Macaca fascicularis: one gene and its partners. The protein of the gene in region 3 purifies or fractionates together with the protein of the main gene of each other region. This does not show direct contact. Links are inferred from orthologs where the notes say so. Each region holds a gene or a part of one and is shown on either strand. Other genes may lie near its edges. The genes, in order: PCNA, ARRB2, IGF1R and ARRB1.

Evidence for each region.
Region 1: the proteins of IGF1R (region 3) and PCNA purify together in Homo sapiens (affinity purification with western blotting; 3 studies listed by BioGRID, with this or other methods). This does not show direct contact. The link is inferred for Macaca fascicularis from reciprocal best matches to the Homo sapiens genes IGF1R and PCNA.
Region 2: the proteins of IGF1R (region 3) and ARRB2 purify together in Homo sapiens (affinity purification with western blotting; 4 studies listed by BioGRID). This does not show direct contact. The link is inferred for Macaca fascicularis from reciprocal best matches to the Homo sapiens genes IGF1R and ARRB2.
Region 4: the proteins of IGF1R (region 3) and ARRB1 purify together in Homo sapiens (affinity purification with western blotting; 3 studies listed by BioGRID and IntAct, with this or other methods). This does not show direct contact. The link is inferred for Macaca fascicularis from reciprocal best matches to the Homo sapiens genes IGF1R and ARRB1.

What each region holds. Positions count from the first base shown.
Region 1 is NC_088384.1:82,160,588-82,164,921, forward strand, and holds the start of PCNA (proliferating cell nuclear antigen), read left to right. Parts: upstream 1-1,526; 5' UTR 1,527-1,686; coding exon 1,687-1,907; intron 1,908-2,619; coding exon 2,620-2,717; intron 2,718-2,808; coding exon 2,809-2,876; intron 2,877-4,142; coding exon 4,143-4,334. UniProt on the Homo sapiens protein: Auxiliary protein of DNA polymerase delta and epsilon, is involved in the control of eukaryotic DNA replication by increasing the polymerase's processibility during elongation of the leading strand.
Region 2 is NC_088390.1:4,804,650-4,809,043, forward strand, and holds the start of ARRB2 (beta-arrestin-2), read left to right. Parts: upstream 1-1,500; 5' UTR 1,501-1,523; coding exon 1,524-1,657; intron 1,658-4,394. UniProt on the Homo sapiens protein: Functions in regulating agonist-mediated G-protein coupled receptor (GPCR) signaling by mediating both receptor desensitization and resensitization processes.
Region 3 is NC_088381.1:83,518,427-83,522,806, reverse strand, and holds the start of IGF1R (insulin-like growth factor 1 receptor), read right to left. Parts: upstream 3,088-4,380; 5' UTR 2,068-3,087; coding exon 1,974-2,067; intron 801-1,973; exon of another isoform or gene 563-800; intron 1-562. Other genes in the region: uncharacterized protein, read left to right, coding at 3,662-4,356. UniProt on the Homo sapiens protein: Receptor tyrosine kinase which mediates actions of insulin-like growth factor 1 (IGF1). Binds IGF1 with high affinity and IGF2 and insulin (INS) with a lower affinity. The activated IGF1R is involved in cell growth and survival control.
Region 4 is NC_088388.1:74,143,032-74,146,859, forward strand, and holds part of ARRB1 (beta-arrestin-1), read right to left. Parts: intron 3,414-3,828; coding exon 3,354-3,413; intron 2,539-3,353; coding exon 2,471-2,538; intron 151-2,470; coding exon 15-150; intron 1-14. UniProt on the Homo sapiens protein: Functions in regulating agonist-mediated G-protein coupled receptor (GPCR) signaling by mediating both receptor desensitization and resensitization processes.

The DNA of each region.
Region 1 (4,334 bases), on a different chromosome or scaffold from region 3:
CGAGACCAGCTTGGCCAACATGGTGAAACCCCCGTCTCTACTAAAAATGCAAAAATTAGCCGGGTGTAGTGGTAGGCACCTGTAATCCCAGCTACTTGGGAGGCTGAGACAGGAGAATTGCTTGAACCTGGGAGGCGGAGGTTTCAGTGAGCCGAGATAGTGCCACTGCAGTCCAGCCGGGGCAACAGAGCAAGACTCCGTCTCAAAAAAAAAAAAATTGAATTTTTGACACAGATGAGCAATGATTAAAAAATGAGATTGCTAATATCTGTAGTTAGGAAAATAAAGATAAATGAGCATGTTCATACACAGTCTTGGCTAGAATGTAAATTGCAAACTTTTAGAGATTTAGTAACATTTATCAAAAATTTAGCCGGGCATGGTGGCACATGCCTGTAATCCCAGCACTTTGGGAGGCTGAGGCGGGTGATCACCTGAGGTCGGGAGTTTGAGACCAGCCTGGCCAACATGGTGAAACCCCGTCTCTACTAAAAAAAAAAAAAAAAAAAAAAAAAAAAAAATTAGTCGGGCGCGGTGGTAGGCGCCTGTAATCCCAGCTACTTGGGAGGCTGAGGCAGGAGAATCATTTGAACCTGGGAGGCGGAGGTTGCAGTGAGCCGAGATCGCGCCACTGCACTCCAGCCTGAATGACAGAGCAGGACTCCATCTCAAAAAAAAAGAAAGAAAGAAAAGAAAAGAAAAAAAATTAAATGTGTACGCTCTTTGACTCAGCTGTATTACTTCAAGGAGTTGATAGCACCAAAATTGCCTAAGTGCTCAAAGGTGTTTGTAATTAACAGGAGATTGATAAGTTACATACATGTGATGCTATCTTTTAAAGAGGTACTGATATAAAAAAGATGTACGTGGCATAAAATTAAATGTACTTTATTAAGTACTTTTTCGAAGTGTTTACGGAATGAGTGCATTTTGAAAAAAAAAAGTGTATTCGAACTTTCAAAAAAGCTTTAAAAGCTTTATACAAGGAACGATTGAGTGATTATAAGAGCTGGCAGTGGAATGTTAAGAGGTGAGAGGGAGCTAAGTTTAACATAACTCTTTATGGTGTGACACTTAGGAGCGCATCACTTCTGTAATTGAAAAATAAAGTGCATATTTGCAGCAGCTGTACTCTTCAGGCTACAAGGAGGCTTTTCCTCCCGGTAGGCTGGATTTGCTTTTCACTTTCACTTTCGTGGCTGGAAACTTTCTACCCACGGAGCTGGAGGCTGAGGAGGCACCATAAAGCTGGGGCTTGACGAACCGGGGCCTGGGCCGGATCCCCACATATGCCCGGACTTGTTCAGTGGTCAGGTTCAGGAGTCAGGCGAAGAGGCGGGGAGACCTGCGGGACGCTGCCCCGCCCTGCACCCGCTTCCTCCAATGTATGTCCTAGGGGGCGGGCCTCGCGGGGAGCATCGGCACGATTGGCCCTAAATTCTAACCCGCCCAGGCTGTGGGCCGGGCAGCGTGGTGACGTCGCAACGCGGCGCAGGGTAAGAGCGCGCGCTGGCGGACGCGGCGGCATTAAACGGTTGCAGGCGTAGCAGACTGGTAGTTCTGTTTCTAGGTCTCAGCTTCTCGTCACGACGTTCGCCCGCTCGCTCTGAGGCTCCTGAAGCGGAAACCGGCTAGACTTTCCTCCTTCCCGCCTGCCTGTAGCCGCGTTGCTGCCACTCCGCCACCATGTTCGAGGCGCGCCTGGTCCAGGGCTCCATCCTGAAGAAGGTGTTGGAGGCCCTCAAGGACCTCATCAACGAGGCCTGCTGGGATATTAGCTCCAGCGGCGTAAATCTGCAGAGCATGGACTCGTCCCACGTCTCCTTGGTGCAGCTCACCCTGCGGTCTGAGGGCTTCGACACCTACCGCTGCGACCGCAACCTGGCTATGGGCGTGAACCTCACCAGGTGAGCCTCGCGGCGCCGAGAAACCGGCCCCGGCCCACCCCCACCTCCGGGGTTTGGCGGGATCGCTTCCGAGCCGAGCCCTCATTGGCTGGCGTGGACCATCCGCACCTTCTCATTGGCCTGCCATGCAGGGGGGTGGGGCCCAGCTGAGCGCGCGGTTCGGAAAAGCCCGCGCTGGCTGCTGCGCGAACCTGCTTTTTCGCGCCAAAGTCACAAAGCGGGTGGTGGCGGGAAAATGACTGGTTTTTCTGCAGTGCCAGGAACACTGCTCCAGAGCTTTTGCTCACTAAATCCTGTTGGCCTTGAATGGACGCTTTAGTTGTGGCTTTTTTGTTTCCGAGACGGTCTCGATGTGTTGGCCCGGGCTGGTCTCCAACTTCTGGGCTCAGGCGATCCTCCCGGCTCAGTCGCGATTGACTTTAAATGCTTTATAATGTGCCCTTGCGAGAAAAGTGTCAGCCTGTCATCCTACTTAGTGGCAGGAGATTGTTTCTATCCAGAAGGGAAACTGCTGGTGGTATTTTAGTATAAATACTGCCAGATGCATCCCAAAATGTCTGCATTAATATTCGCATCCTCCAGCAGTGCAATTACCCTCCACCAGTTCTGAGACGGCCTATGGGTGAGAGTGGTAACCCCTTCTAACTGCATTAGAAATACAGACCTTCAGTAGATGGTGTTGATTTTAAACCATGTGTCTCCTGTCTTCTAGTATGTCCAAAATACTAAAATGCGCCGGCAATGAAGATATCATTACACTAAGGGCTGAAGATAATGCGGATACCTTGGCGCTAGTATTTGAAGCACCCAGTAAGTCGTACCTTTTTACTGAGTTATGAAGCTACAGAAGATCGAAACTCTGTGCCAGTGTTTCTCAACAGCATTTGCTTTTTTTTGGTAGACCAGGAGAAAGTTTCAGACTATGAAATGAAGTTGATGGATTTGGATGTTGAACAACTTGGAATTCCAGTGAGTATCAGTTTCTGATTGTAGCGACTGCTGTACACAGGCATGATAGTTATGTCATAGAATGTTGTTTATTTTTACAGACAGGGTCTTCCTCTTTTCCCCAGGCTGGAGTGCAGTGGTGCCATATAGCTCACTGTAACCTGGGACTCCTGGGCTCAAGCAATCCACTTAGTCTCCTAAGTGGCTAGGAAGGACTACAGATCTGTCCCACCACGCCTGGCTAATTTTTTTATTTTTGTGTGTGGGTGTGGGGGCAGTCTTGCCCAGGCTGGTCTGGAACTCCTGGCCTCAATGATCCTCCTCCGTCAAGATAAGTTAATATAATTTAAGCCTACTTCATAACAGAACTTTTTCTAGAAACATATCTACTGGTGCATGTTTTAAAGAGATTTTAGTATTTGGATAGTTGTTTACCACAAGTCTAAAACTCACTGGTTAAATTTATTGTTTACTGCCAGTTGTCTATTTGCATTAATTTCCATGAACCTCTTTTAAAATTTGCTTCCTTCTAGGATGGTTGGTTTTGTTTTGTTTTGTTTTGTTTTTGAGGCGGAGTATCGCTCTGTCGCCCAGGCTGGAGTGCTGTGGCCAGATCTCAGCTCACTGCAAGCTCCGCCACCCAGGTTTACGCCATTCTCCTGCCTCAGCTTCCCGAGTAGCTGGGACTACAGGCGCCCACCACCTCGCCCGGCTAGTTTTTTTTTTTTTTTTTTTTTTTGTATTTTTTAGTAGAGACGGGGTTTCACCAGGTTAGCCAGGATGGTCTCGATCTCCTGACCTTGTGATCCGCCTGTCTCGGCCTTCCAAAGTGCTGGGATTACAGGCTTGAGCCACCGCGCCCGGCCCGATGCTTGGTTTTTATTAAGTGGGTTTGAAAGCTATCTTAGAAGAAATGTATCCAGGTTAGGTTTATAAACACCAAAGGAGAGAAGAAATGTTGGAATGTTGAAAATGCCTAATATCATATTCTCTCGTTTTCTTTTAGAAAATAGTTAGACCTGCTTGCGCCGTCATCATTTCTGTGGCATACTCTAATGTTCTCTTACTTTATCCCTGGAGGATGAGGAGGAGGAGGCGCTTGTTCCCTGGGCAGTGCATTTAATAGCCATTTATTTTTTTTGAGTGGAGTTTGTTAAGAAATTACACGAGTCAGTAATCAGAAAATCTTGATTCTGAGTTGTTTAGATGTTGCCTTTTAAGAAAGTGAGGGTGCCAAATCATTAAATTTCTAACAATTAACTTTTGGAAAATTTTTGTTCTTAATAGGAACAAGAGTACAGCTGTGTAGTAAAGATGCCTTCTGGTGAATTTGCACGTATATGCCGAGATCTCAGCCATATTGGAGATGCTGTTGTAATTTCCTGTGCAAAAGACGGCGTGAAATTTTCTGCAAGTGGAGAACTTGGAAATGGAAACATTAAATTGTCACAGACAAGTAATGTCGATAAAGAGGAGGAA
Region 2 (4,394 bases), on a different chromosome or scaffold from region 3:
GTCCTTCTGCGGGGCCCTCAGTCTCGCTCCTTCATCTGCTATACAAAATCCTCCACAACCTGTTCCAGGCTTCCCCACCAACACCACACAACAGGATGTGCCTTGTCTTTCTCTTTGGAATGCCCTGTCTTAACTTCTGCCCGGCCCGGCACGGTGGCTCACGCCTGTAATCCCAACACTTTGGGAGGCTGAGGCGGGTGGAACACGAGGTCAGGCATTTGAGACCAGCAAGGCCAACGTGATGAAACCTTGTCTCTATTAAAAATATGAAAAGTAGCTAGGCATTGTGGCAGGCGCCTGTAATCCCAGCTACTCGGGAGGCTGAGCAGAGAAGTGCTTGAACCTGGGAGGCGGAGGTTGCAGTGAGCCGAGATCGCGCCACTGCACTCCAGCCGGGGCAACAGAGCGAGACTCTATCTCAAAAAAAAGAAAACGAAAAAAAACTTCTGCACATCCTTCAGAAAGACTGTCCTCATATGTTCTCCGCTCCACCCCCGCCCGGGCCGAGCGCTGTTAGTGGCTGTGTCTTCTGACTCAGACCTCTGTAATAGCATTCCTGGGTAATACCTGTGTATGTGTCTCCTCAACTATTCTAGGAAGTCAGGGGCCATGGTAATTCATATGTGTCCCCATCGATTGGCATAGTAAATAGCATAAAATAGGCACGGATGGGTGGGTCGATAGATGGACCGATGGGTGCGAGCGAGTGAGTGAGTGGATGTTAGCTGGGATGGGTGGGTGAAGGAGATGGAGAGTCAGAGACATTGGAAAAGGGAACCCTGCGAAAATCAAATGTAGACACCAGGAGGAGCTGACACGCTGCGGTGAAGAAGCGGGAGGGCTGGCCACAGAAGGCGGTACGCTCCGCGTGGAGCAGGTGAGCTGCGCGCACTGAAGCAAGTATCACGCAATTGAACTGCTCACCCACGTGTTCCCCCCCACCATCCTCCTTCCCAGACGGCGCTTCAGCTCATTCCACCGCCCCCAACAGCCCGGTCGCCCCCACCGCCACTGAGAAAGCAAACAAAGGGGAGGAGACCCCTAAAGGTTCTGGATGCCGAGGGCCAATCGAAAGACTTAGATCCCCTGGAAGGCGGGAGCCTTGGTTTAGGGGGGCCCAATCGGTTTCAAGGGGTTGCGGCGGGGCGGGGAGATGGGCGGGAAGAGCGGGAGCGGGCCCCGCGCGCGGGGGAGGGCTCCCCGGCTGGGACGGAACGCGAAGGGTTGGGGGCGGAGCCAATGGCCCTGTGTGTCTGCTAGGAGAGGGCGGGCAGCGCCGCGGCGCGCGCGATCCGGCTGACGCATCTGGCCCCGGTTCCCCCAGACCAGAGCCGGGCCGGGAGGGAGGGGGAAGAGGCGAGAGCGCGGAGGGCGCGCGTGCGCATTGGCGCGGGGAGGAGCAGGGATCTTGGCAGCGGGCGAGGAGGCTGCGAGCGAGCCGCGAACCGAGCGGGCGGCGGGCGCGCGCACCATGGGGGAGAAACCCGGGACCAGGTAAGGGAGGTGGGGCCACGCGGCGGGGCATGGGCGGCGGCTCGGGGCGGGGGCTGGGACGGTCCCAGACGAGGACGCCGCGGAGAGGATCTGGGGGCCGGACGCCTGGGTCCCTAGGGACAGCCATCCGGGGCCGCACGCGCAGGTCCTCGAGGATAATGAGGTTGGGGGGAAATGCCCGGGCCCCTGCAGAAAGCGAGGCCGGAGGGGGATCAGAAAAACCGGTGTCGGGGTTCTCTCAGGGATGTGGGGCCAGACTACTGGGCTCTCCCGTGCCCAGGAGTCTGGGCAGGCTGCGATGCAGGGACGGAGGGAGGAGCAGGTGGCTGGCCCCGAGGGGTCGTGTACGGGGAGGCTGGATGCTGGGAGGGGGATCCCCTCCAGACTCGTGCCAAGCCAATGCAAAGCCTCCTGTCCAATATCCCCCAGGTAGTCGCGCTGCCCACACCTGTCCCGAGGGCCGGGTGGCTCCTCATCCAAACTTCTACCTTCCCCTGGGTTGCCAGGAGCAACAACAGCTTCATCTTGGGAGAGCCTGACCCTTCCTGAAACTAGATCGGATCCCTCTCCCTGGGGGTGGGGGAGGCAGTATTCACGCTGGGCGCGCGTCCACTCCCCGGATGTTTTCTGTGCAATCGAGGCTCTTTCCTTCCACTGATACCCCGAGTTCTCTTTTTTGGTCTCTAGCAAAATCCACTTCCTGTTGTGACTCAACACCCCCAAGGGGTAAGGGGTGAATGCCTGAGTCCCAGGGGAGCAGGAGCAAAAGACAGAAAGGTTGGGGCTGTAGGCCTCAACCCAGAGGGGATCGGGAATAGGGAATTGGTCCTGAGCTCTGGCTTGCTCTGCAAAGCATCATATCGACCCCACTTCCAACCTATAGAGTAGGAGAACCCAGGTTTCTGAGCGTCAAGTAGATGAGTATCAGAAAGAGATCATCAGAGAGATGATCGGTGTCCTGGATTAGGGTTTAAACATCCCAGAGAAAGGGGAAGTTGCTGCCTTGTGGGAGGCCCCTGATTTCCGTTATGTGGTTCAAGGAGTGGGACAGATGGACCAAAGGGGACTGCTGACTTGACCCAATTTCCCTCACCTCCATCAAATTCTGGGCCACAGGAAATGGAGAGAATAGCAGGAAGTGTGAAAGGACATCTGCTTCAGCTACCCCTGCCCCCATTGGGCACCTCCCTGGTCATCCCCACACTCTGCCTCCTTGGCCAGCCTAGTATCTGCACGCTGCTCCTCCTCAGCCTGGCAGGAGGTGGCTGGGTTAGGATCCAAAGGGCAGGTGCCTTGCAGCTGCTCCAGGGCAGTTGCCCCAGAGCCACACTGCAGTTGGCCCACTGACTGTGGCTGTCACAGCCCTGTGCCAGGGCTCCTAATGGGAGGACACCCTGGGACAAAGAGGAAAACCAGAAGCAAAGGGGAGGGAGAGCCTGGATGATGCCACAGCACTCAGCCCCCAAGTTGGGACAAAAGATAGGATGTTTATTCTAGCTGCCACCGTATCGATGTTTATTCTCTTTTATTGGTTAGGAATACCTGGGAGCCTCCATACCCTTTACCTTATAATCTTTGGACAGCTTGGCTTTCTGGGAAGAAGGGACAAGTGAAGTTGTAGCAGAAACTGGGCCTATGGTAGAAACCATTTAGGGCCAAAGGCCAGAGTCATTGCTCTCCTATATGCTCCAGCTGTCAGAGCTGTAGACCAGATGGAAAGATGGTTAAGTCTTACCCAGATACTGCGGCAACCTGCCCATTGGGGTCCTCTGGGAATGGGGTGGTAGAGTTGGAGGAGGGATGGGCTAGTTGGCAGGATTTCACGTTCTGCTGTCTATCTGAGGATCCTTTCCAGGGATCACTGCTGAGGCAGAGTGGATTGGAAGGAGTAAGGTGATGCTTCAAAGAATAGGCTCACAATTGGCCAGATCACTGGGATTGCCAAACACTTCCTTACCCTCCCAGCAGTGGGTGGAGTCCAGGCTTAAATTGTTTCAGCAACTGGAAAGCGAATACCCTTCAATTGAACAAACTATTGATGCCAGCTACAGAGACGGATAGTGTAATATTGATTGAGAGGATGGACTCGGAGCCAGACCGCCTTGGTTTCTATTAATTCCCACCATTTACTCTCTCTGTGACCTTAAAACACTTAACCTCTCTCTGCCTCAGTTTCCTCACCTGGAAAATAGAGACATTAGGACCTCCATCACTGGGTAGTTTTATTTTATTTTATTTTTTATTTATTTATTTATTTGAAATGGAGTCTTGCTCTGTCACCCAGGCTGGAGTGCAGTGACGCAATCTTGGCTCACTGCAACCTAAGGCCGGGCGTGGTGGCTCACGCCTGTAATCCCAGCACTTTGGGAGGCTGAGGCGGGTGCATCACCTGAGGTCAGGAGTTGGAGATCAGCCTGGCCAACTTGGGGAAACCTTGTCTCTACTAAAAAACTACAAAATACAGGCCAGACGCCGTGGCTCAAGCCCGTAATCCCAGCCCTTTGGGAGGCTGAGGCGGGCGGATCACTTGAGGTCAGGAGTTCGAGATCAGCCTGGCCAACATAGGGAAACCCCATCTATACTAAAAATATAAAAATTAGCAGCCAGGCGCAGTGGCTCACACCTGTAATCCCAGCACTTTGGGAGGCCAAGACTGGCGGATCACGAGGTCAGGAGATGAAGACCGTCCTGGCTAACACAGTGAAACCCCGTCTCTACTAAAAATACAAAAAATTAGCCGGGCGTGGTGGTGGGCACCTGTAGTCCTAGCTACTTGGGAGGCTGAGGCAGGAGAATGGCATGAACCTGGGAGGCAGAGGTTGCAGTGAGCCAAAATTGCGCCACTGCACTCCAGCCTGGGCAACAGAGCAAGACTCCATCTCAAAAAAATAAAAAATTAT
Region 3 (4,380 bases):
AAGAAAAACAGCCTATTTTAAAATGCCCGACTCCTGCGTCGGAGAAGGCCATCCCTGCTATTTTGAATTTCAGAACATTAAAAACACAAAACTAGAGAAGCTCTACAGTTTAACTGCACACCATAATAAAACGGATTATTTCTCCCGTGTCTTCTAAACCGTACTTATCATTTAAAGATAAAAAACCCTCCTTTGTCCCCCTCAAACACCACCTAAACGACTTAGTAAAGGGAGCCGGAAGGCTTTCGCCCAATCGAGTCCGCTTAAAGTTTAGAAAACAAAGAGCATGAGAGCCCAGATCTGTGCAAGGTCCGGCCCCAGTCCGCGTCCCACTCGGCAGTAAACACGCGAACCACGATCTGCTCTCGTTCTGTCGCGCACTCATTTCTTAAGAGACGTTTAAGGATTTGTTTATAGAAACAGCCTTTCTGAATTGCCCCAGTGATGGGGCCAGACAACCTCCGCTGCCTCCTACTTCTCCCCCTCACTCTTGAAGGCTCAGTCGTGATTTTTTTCGAAGTTAATCGGCACCACCTGCATACCCTCGGCTACCATTACTCACCAACACGCCCTCACCGTTCCCGATCCCAGTTCTGCGACATTTAAACTTTTAATCGTGTTCAAATTACCCCACTATCTTGAATGTACCAGTAAGCCACACTTTCAATTTTTTGAGAATAAACCCCCCACCTCCTGTGGCTGTACACACTGGGGGGAGTTCCCACTCCCTGCATCCCCGCGCTTCCCTACCTACCCCTACCCGACACCACCAAAACAAAAGCTATCAGGTTGCAAAACATAGCGAGTATGGAACGATACTGCTTATTAACTGCGTACAAAGGAAGTGCGCGGCGGCAGAAGGGAGGGCGACACGACGCCGGCCACAACAAAACCAAGGCCAGGGCTCCGCGCTCGCAAAACACAACACCCTTCCCCCACCGCCGCAGACCCTGGCGCTCCTGAAACCCACAGCGTAGGACACCTCTCGCCAGGGACGGGCGTCTCGGTGTCCCCGTGAGGCGGCGACTACACCCCGCGCTGCGAGCACGTGTGTCGGAATGCACGTCGGCTCCGACCACACACCCACCAACGCACATTCGGATGCGGCCCTAGCACCCCTCCATGCCCCTGCCCGGGAGAAACTGAGAGGCCATCCCAGAGCCCTCTGAACTGGGGGCCCAGTGGCGCTCCCCGTAAAAGACAAGCTGAGGAAGACTCCCGGCCTCGCACTCCCCGGGGAGCTGCCCAGAGAGCGCTTCCCCTCACCCCACCGCCCAGCCCCGGGACGCCAGGGGCAGGTAACCCAACGAGGAGCGGGCCAAAGTAACGGGCAAGGCCAGGAACCCTAGGAGCCCGAGGGGAAATGCATGTTGGGCGACGGGAGGCAGCGCCAGGCGCTTGGAGACGTGTCCTGGGGCTTCGGGGCCTCTCCGCAGGGCACCTCCCCCCTCAAGGGCAACTCGCACCCCGCGGGCCGGGCGGATGCCTGCTCCCCACTGCCGGATCAGCCCCAGCAGCGGAGACGCGGTGCGGCCCAGGGTGCAGTCCCCGCTGCCTTCGCGCCGCATGGGATCAGCGCTATGTGCGGAGAGGCTCGTGCGCTCCGGAGGGGCGAGGTGCGGGTCGCGGGGCCTGGGAACCCTTGGTGCCCGCCCCGGCACCAACTTCCCTACCGAGTCCTCGAGCCTAGCCGGGGGACAGGACTGTCGGCACGACTAGAGAGAAAGCCCCTCAGGCCCTTCCAGCACGGGGGATGTGCGGAGCCAGGGCCCGCTGGGCTCCAGACGAACGAGCCCGGATCCCAGGTCCGCCGCAGCCTCCCTCCCGGCAGAGCCACCCCGCGCCCCGCCCCGCCGCTCCCGAGCCCGGGGGCCCGACAGCTGCGACGGTGGCAACTCGGGTTTCGCAAACAGGGCGCAGCCCCTCGAAGGAAAAGTTCCCGCAGTGGCCGCGGGCGGCGGGCACATACTCACTTTCTCCACTCGTCGGCCAGAGCGAGAGCGCGGCGGAGAGAAACAGGAGCCCCCACAGCGAGGTCGGGGACCCTTCTCCAGAGCCAGACTTCATTCCTTTTATTTGGGACGAAATTCCCCTTTCTCAAAAAAAAAAAAAAAAAGAAAAGAAAAGAAAAAGAAAAAAAAAGAAAGGAAAGGAAACAAGTCTCAAACTCAGTCTTCGCTCCCCCTCCAAAAACAAGGACGAAGGAAACAATACTCCGAAGGCGGTGCCGCCGGGGCCCTCCGGGTGCGCGGACGGGGCGGCCCCTCAGCGCCGGCAGCAGCGGCCCAGGGCTCGGCGGAGTCGGCAACTCGAGGCGCGCCGGGGCGGGCTGTCGGCGTCGTCGGCCTCCATTTTCAAACCCGGAGAGGCAGGAAAGGGGGAAAACTGCAAAGAAAGGGGGCAAAGCCCAAATCTGCCTCGGCGAGGAAAAACAAGCCCGGCCCTTGCCGCGCGGGAGGTGGCCGGACGCCCGAGCCTCCGCCGCGGGAGGGCGCGACGCAGTTCGCAAGATCGCCCCAAGTCCGGGTCGCAGGCGAGGCCGGCGAGGGGCAGAAACCCGGAGTCAAATGAATGAGCGGCTCCCCCTCCTCCTCCTCCTCCGGGCTCCGCTCGCCGCCGCCTCCTCCCTCAGCGCCGCCGCCGCCGCGAGCTCCTTCCCAAATCCAGGACACACACAAAGCGGCGGGCCGGCCGCGCCGCGCTCAGCACTCCCGCCGCGCCGCCCGGCTCTGCGCCGCCGCCCGCCCCGCGCTGCCCCCGCCCGGCCCCCGCCCGCCGCCGCCGGCTCTGCGCGGGGGCTCCGGCTCGCTGAAGGTCACAGCCGAGGCGAGGCGCGCCGTGGAGCTGCCCCCGCGCGGGAGGGGCGTGGAGGGCGCGGGGGGGGTCCGGGGAGCGGGGCCGAGGGTCTGCGAGCGCCGGCCGCGGGCAGGCTCGCTGGCGGCGTCCCTCTCGCTCTCCCGCCTCTCTTGAGTTCGCCTGGTGCGCTCGCTCCTCCTCGGGTTTTTTCCCTTTTTTTTTCCGCTCAGCGGAGTTAATGCTGGTAAACAAGAGCCCCAGCCTCGCCGCGCCGCCGCCGCCGCCGCCGCCACACACTGGGGGCTCGCGCGCGCGCGCTCGCCCGGGTCCGCGCACACGCGCCCGCTCGCACACTCGAGCGGCCACCGCCGCAGCAGCGGCGCGCCGAGGGCCCGGCCCAGGCCGGCACGAGCCAAAAACCGGAGCCCGGGATCCCCGAGACGTGCGGAGCGGAGCCCAGGCGTGGGGCGCGAGACTGCAAGCGCCGCCCCCATGTCCCGCCCCGCCGACTCCCGCGCGCGCACAGAGACACGCGCGCGTGCCCACCCGCTCCCGCCCCCACCAGTGCACCACTGCGCCGGCCACCCCGCACGCGCCCTACCCTCCCGCCCGACTCCAAAAACAATGCCCCCGCCGCCGACCCGGTCTCGGCGGGGCAGGGGTGGGTAGGCAGGGAAAGGTTAGGAAGGGGAGGGGTAGGCAGGCGAGGGGCGGGGTGGGCAGGCGAGGGGAGGGGTGGGCGGGGAGTGCGGTGCTGGGAGAGGTTCATTGAAAACAACAACAGCGCGGCTGGAAAGCGCGTTTCCCTGGTTCTTGAAAAGCTTCATTGTTCCTTGCAGCTGTTGCAAAATAAATAAGTGCGTGCATGCGGCATTTTTTTCGCTATGTACTGGAAAGCCCGAACGTGGCGGAAGGGGCGCACCTGGGAAAAAGAAGACCCCCCCAGGCTACTACGCTGGGCACTTTCACGCCAGGCTGGGGCACCCGCGGCGTTGAGACCGGGGAGCCCGGAGTTGCGGGGAGCGGAGGGGGAAGGGCGCGGCCCGCGTGGCTCGACCCGGAGTGGCGCGAGGAGACAGGACCCCGCAGCCCCCCGGTCGGGCCCCGCGCCCCGGAAGGGGGGCTCAGACAGGCGGCCCCGCGTGCCCAGGGCGCGTCCCCGCGGCGGCCGCCAGAGGGCGCGGCGGGCGCCGGGGAGGGCAGCACGCGGAGAGTCGCCTCCCTCCCTCCGGGGGAGGAAATGTGGGGGCCCGGGCTGGGGACCGACTCGGCTGGGTCGCGCTGGCGGGGCCTCCCGGACCAGCGGCCCGCCCCGAGCGCTCTCAGCGGCCTCGCGCGGCTCAGGGCTCCACCACGTGGGCGGCTGTGGGGAGCGGCCGGGGCGCGTGCACGCTGCGGGGCTCCGAAGCTGGGGGGCGTGTCCGGGGCCCCGAGAAGGGGGTGGAGGCTGGGGCCGGGAAGCCTCCCTTGGCTGCGGTCCCGACCCGGGAACAGGCGGCATGCACTCGGGATCAGCGGCTACTGCGAAAACCCAACCGCACCTGTCTTGAGTCCTCCCGGGCACGTTCCTCTTGCTTCGTTTGC
Region 4 (3,828 bases), on a different chromosome or scaffold from region 3:
TTCAAGCCTCCTACCTCCTTATCCAGGGAGGCCTCTAGGTGCAAGGGCTTGTCCGACATGAGGAACTGCCTGGTGGTCTCGGCTGTGGGCTGGGGGCCAGGCCTCTCTGGGGCATATTGAACCTTCCGGATGACCAGACGCACAGAATTCCTAATGGGGATGGATGGAGTGAAAGAGGACCAGGGTCACCTGCCTTCATCCCCTCTCCTTGCAAGCCTCACATCATTCTCCTGCTCAAGAGACTGGCATGGCTCTTCAACGCCTTAGAATCCAGCCAAACTGCAGAGATCAGCATAGGGGTCTGTCACTATCTGGCTCCATTCCATCCTCCCCTGTTCTATCCCAGAAGTGCCCCGTGGCCGCACTTCATTTGGGTCCTGGTACCCAGCAGGAGGCTGAAACAGGGACTACATTTTCACCTCCTGCTTCCCTATGTCACCAAATAGGTAACAATGTCACTTCCCGCCTCCCTATGTCACCTTACACAAATAGTGTCCCTCTGTCATCTCTTTTGGTGACACAGGACACTATTTGTGTAAGCTCTTTAAGGACAGAAATTTGTGTCTAAGGTGTTCACAACTGTACTCTCAGCACCTATAACTGTGCGTGCCATATAATAAACACATGCCAGATATCTATTATGTAAAACTACGCAGAGGGGACAGGGGTCCCAAGAAGAAATGGGGTTTGGGGAGGCGTCGGGGTTCAGGGAGGAGGTGTGGATTCAGTCAGGGGGATGCAAGCCAGTGAAGGGGACAAGCCCAGGGAGGGGAGAAGGGCCATGGATGAGACTGGCTCCACGAAGGTTACAGGGGATCAGGGAGCAAATGAGGATCTGGTGAGGGAGGGAGACTCAGTGAGGCCGTCTCTGAGGCATGCTGGGAATGCTGCATCTCCATTGCTCAGATAAGCTGCTTCCATTGCCTGGAATGGAGGAGCCAGGGTCAAACTCCCAGCTCTCCTCTTGCTAACTATGTGGCCTTGGGTACATTAACCTCTCTGCCTCCATTCCCTCATCTGTAAAGGGTGATGATAGAAGGACCTATCTCTTTTTTTGCTTTTTAAATTTTATTTATTTATTTATTTTGAGGTGGAGTCTCACTCTGTTGCCCGAGCTGGAGTGCAGTGGCGCGATCTCAGCTCACTACAACCTCTGCCTTCCAGGTTCAAGCAATTCTCCTGCCTCAGTCTTCCGAGCAACTGGGATTACAGGCATGTGCCACCACACCTGCCTAATTTTTGTATTTTCAGTAGAGATGGGGTTTCACCATGTTGGCCAGGCTGGTCTGGAACTCCTGGCCTCAAGTGATCTGCCCGCCTTGGCCTCCCAAAGCTCTGGGATTACAGGCGTGAGCCACCGCGCCTAGCCAGGACCTAATTCTTAGAGCTGCTATGAGGATTAAATTAGTTCGTACAGCCCAGCACTGTGAATGGTGCCTGACACCTAATCAGCCCTTGATAAATGATAGCTTCTATATCATTATTATTAGTAACTCCTTGGTGTGGATTTTAAATGTCCCATTGGTGGTAGGGTGAGAGGGGTGGCTCTCAATGTCACCTCCTCTTTCTTGTGCTTGCTAAGCCTCCTCCCACATCCCACAGCACCCTTCCTTTTCCCTTGTCTCAGGTCTTAAGAGGAAAAGGGAGACAGAGAAGCAAGGGAGAAAAGTCCCATCTCCCCACACACAGGCAGGGCTGCAGATGCAAATGTATGCAATACACCCTATAGCCACCAGGTGGCAAACTCAGCCCATGCCCTAAAAAGGCTGCTGTGCCCTCAGCCAACCTCCTCTGGGAACAGTGCCTCTGGATGCAGGAACATCAGCGTTGAGGGCCCACCAGCTCTTCCAGGAGGCAGGCAGAGCACAGCCTGACCCAGGAGGGGCAGGCCTGAGACATCCGGGCCAGCTGTTTCTGGCTGCCAGCCTGGGCTCTCTGTCTGCCCAGGCTGTGCTTCTCTGGAGAATGCTTCCCCTCTCGGATGTGGGCCGAGCTCCCTGTCACTCTGCCCTGGATGGGTTCACTATCTCCACTTCCTCCTCACTTAGAAGCTGCCATTGACACACACTCAACCCCTGCTGAACTCCTCCCAAGAGGAAAACTGGAAAATGGGGATGGTCAGGAAACAGCCTGCTCACGGTTTAACACAATCTGAATTTAGGATTTTTCCAAAACAAATTAAAAAGACATGCAGTCTGGAGGGGATGAAATGAGAGGCAGGGAGATGAGGGAGGAAGCTTCCACAACGGTGCGAAGGAGAAGATGCGGCAGCCTGAACCTGGGCAGTCAAAGCCACCTCCCCCAGGAAGCCCTCCGTGACCTCCCAGCTTCCAGAGTGCCCTTCCAAGGCTGGAATGTGCGCCCCTCCTCACACACTTCCAGGTATTGTTACTTATCTCCTCTTGGACTTTGCCCATCCTGTCTCCCTCCCTCACCCAGCAGGCAGCCCACACCCTGGCATCCTACTCACCGCTTGTGGATCTTCTCCTCCAAATTCTCCGCACAGAAGGCTTTGACTTCATAGTCCACACCGCAAGCCTGTGGGGAAGGGGTCACTGACCACAGGGCCTTGGAGAAGCAGGGTCCCCAGTACACAGCCAGCCTACCTCTCATTTTACAAGCGAGGACACTGGACAGGAACACCAAGCTCCCACAGCCCAGCCCTCCTCGGTCTGGAAGAAGCAGGGGAACGCCCTTGTGCTCAGCCCCAGTGCTGTGCTGCCTCCTCCATCTGACATGGGACATCCCAAATCATCCAAACAGGGCTCTGCTCTTTGGACTCCTGCCTCAGTCTGGGTGGCCATCCTCATCCAGGCAGCTGCCCAGAAATAGCAACAGGTACCTGAGCGGACTGGGGGCACCTACTACTACTGTGTGCAGACCTGGCCCTGGGTGGCTTCTCCGGTATCCCTCTAATAAGACAAGGAGGCACGTGCTGTCATCTCCATCTTGCAGATGAGGAAGCTGGGCTCAAAGATCTGCAGCTAGTGGTGTCACTTCTATCCAAGCCTCAGTTTCCCCATCTGTGACATGGGGATGATCACACCTTGATTCAAGGTTGCCAGGGGTTACGTGAGGCCAGGTGTAGGTCCTCAGAACACTTTGGTCCTGTTGCAACCAACGCCACTCAGGAGGGCCTCTGGATCCATCACTTAATGGGAGAGTGAGGCTGACCCCATACCTGCTGCCCTGTCTAAAGAGAGACTGGTTGTCCAAGGTGGGACCAGCTTAGCCTAACACTGTTCAACAGGGAGAGTGGTTCTGTGTGTCCAGCACCTCCCAGGGAGAAAGCCAGGGACCTGGGGACCTGAGAGTCCTGGAGCCAGAGAGATGGTCCCCTTGGGGTAACCTACCTTCCCTGTGTCTTCGGGCCCCGGCTGCAGTGTCACAGAGCATGGAAGGTTTGGAGGGATCTGTCAAGAAGACAGAACGAGCCATCTATCACATCCACCACTGTCCTGTCTCATGTCTTGCAGCCCAGACACGCCCATACACCTATCAGACCAAGGGCCCCAGGGGACAGGCCATGTCTACCCCATCAGACCATGCCAACCCATGCCCCGCAAGTGTCTGAGTTTTCTTTATCTAAAGAGTTTGGCCTAGCCCAGTTCTCACAGCAATGGTTTAAATAGATCTTTCTATGATGTCTACTGTAGTTGGCAGAATAATGGTCCCCCAAAGATGTCCACACCCTGATCCCCCAAACCTGGGACCTTAACGACAAAAGTGACTTTGCAGATCCAATTAAGGCCTTGAGATGGGGACAGTATCCTGGATGATTTTGGTGGGCCTGATATCATTATAAGAGTCCTTAGAAGTAGAAGCAGG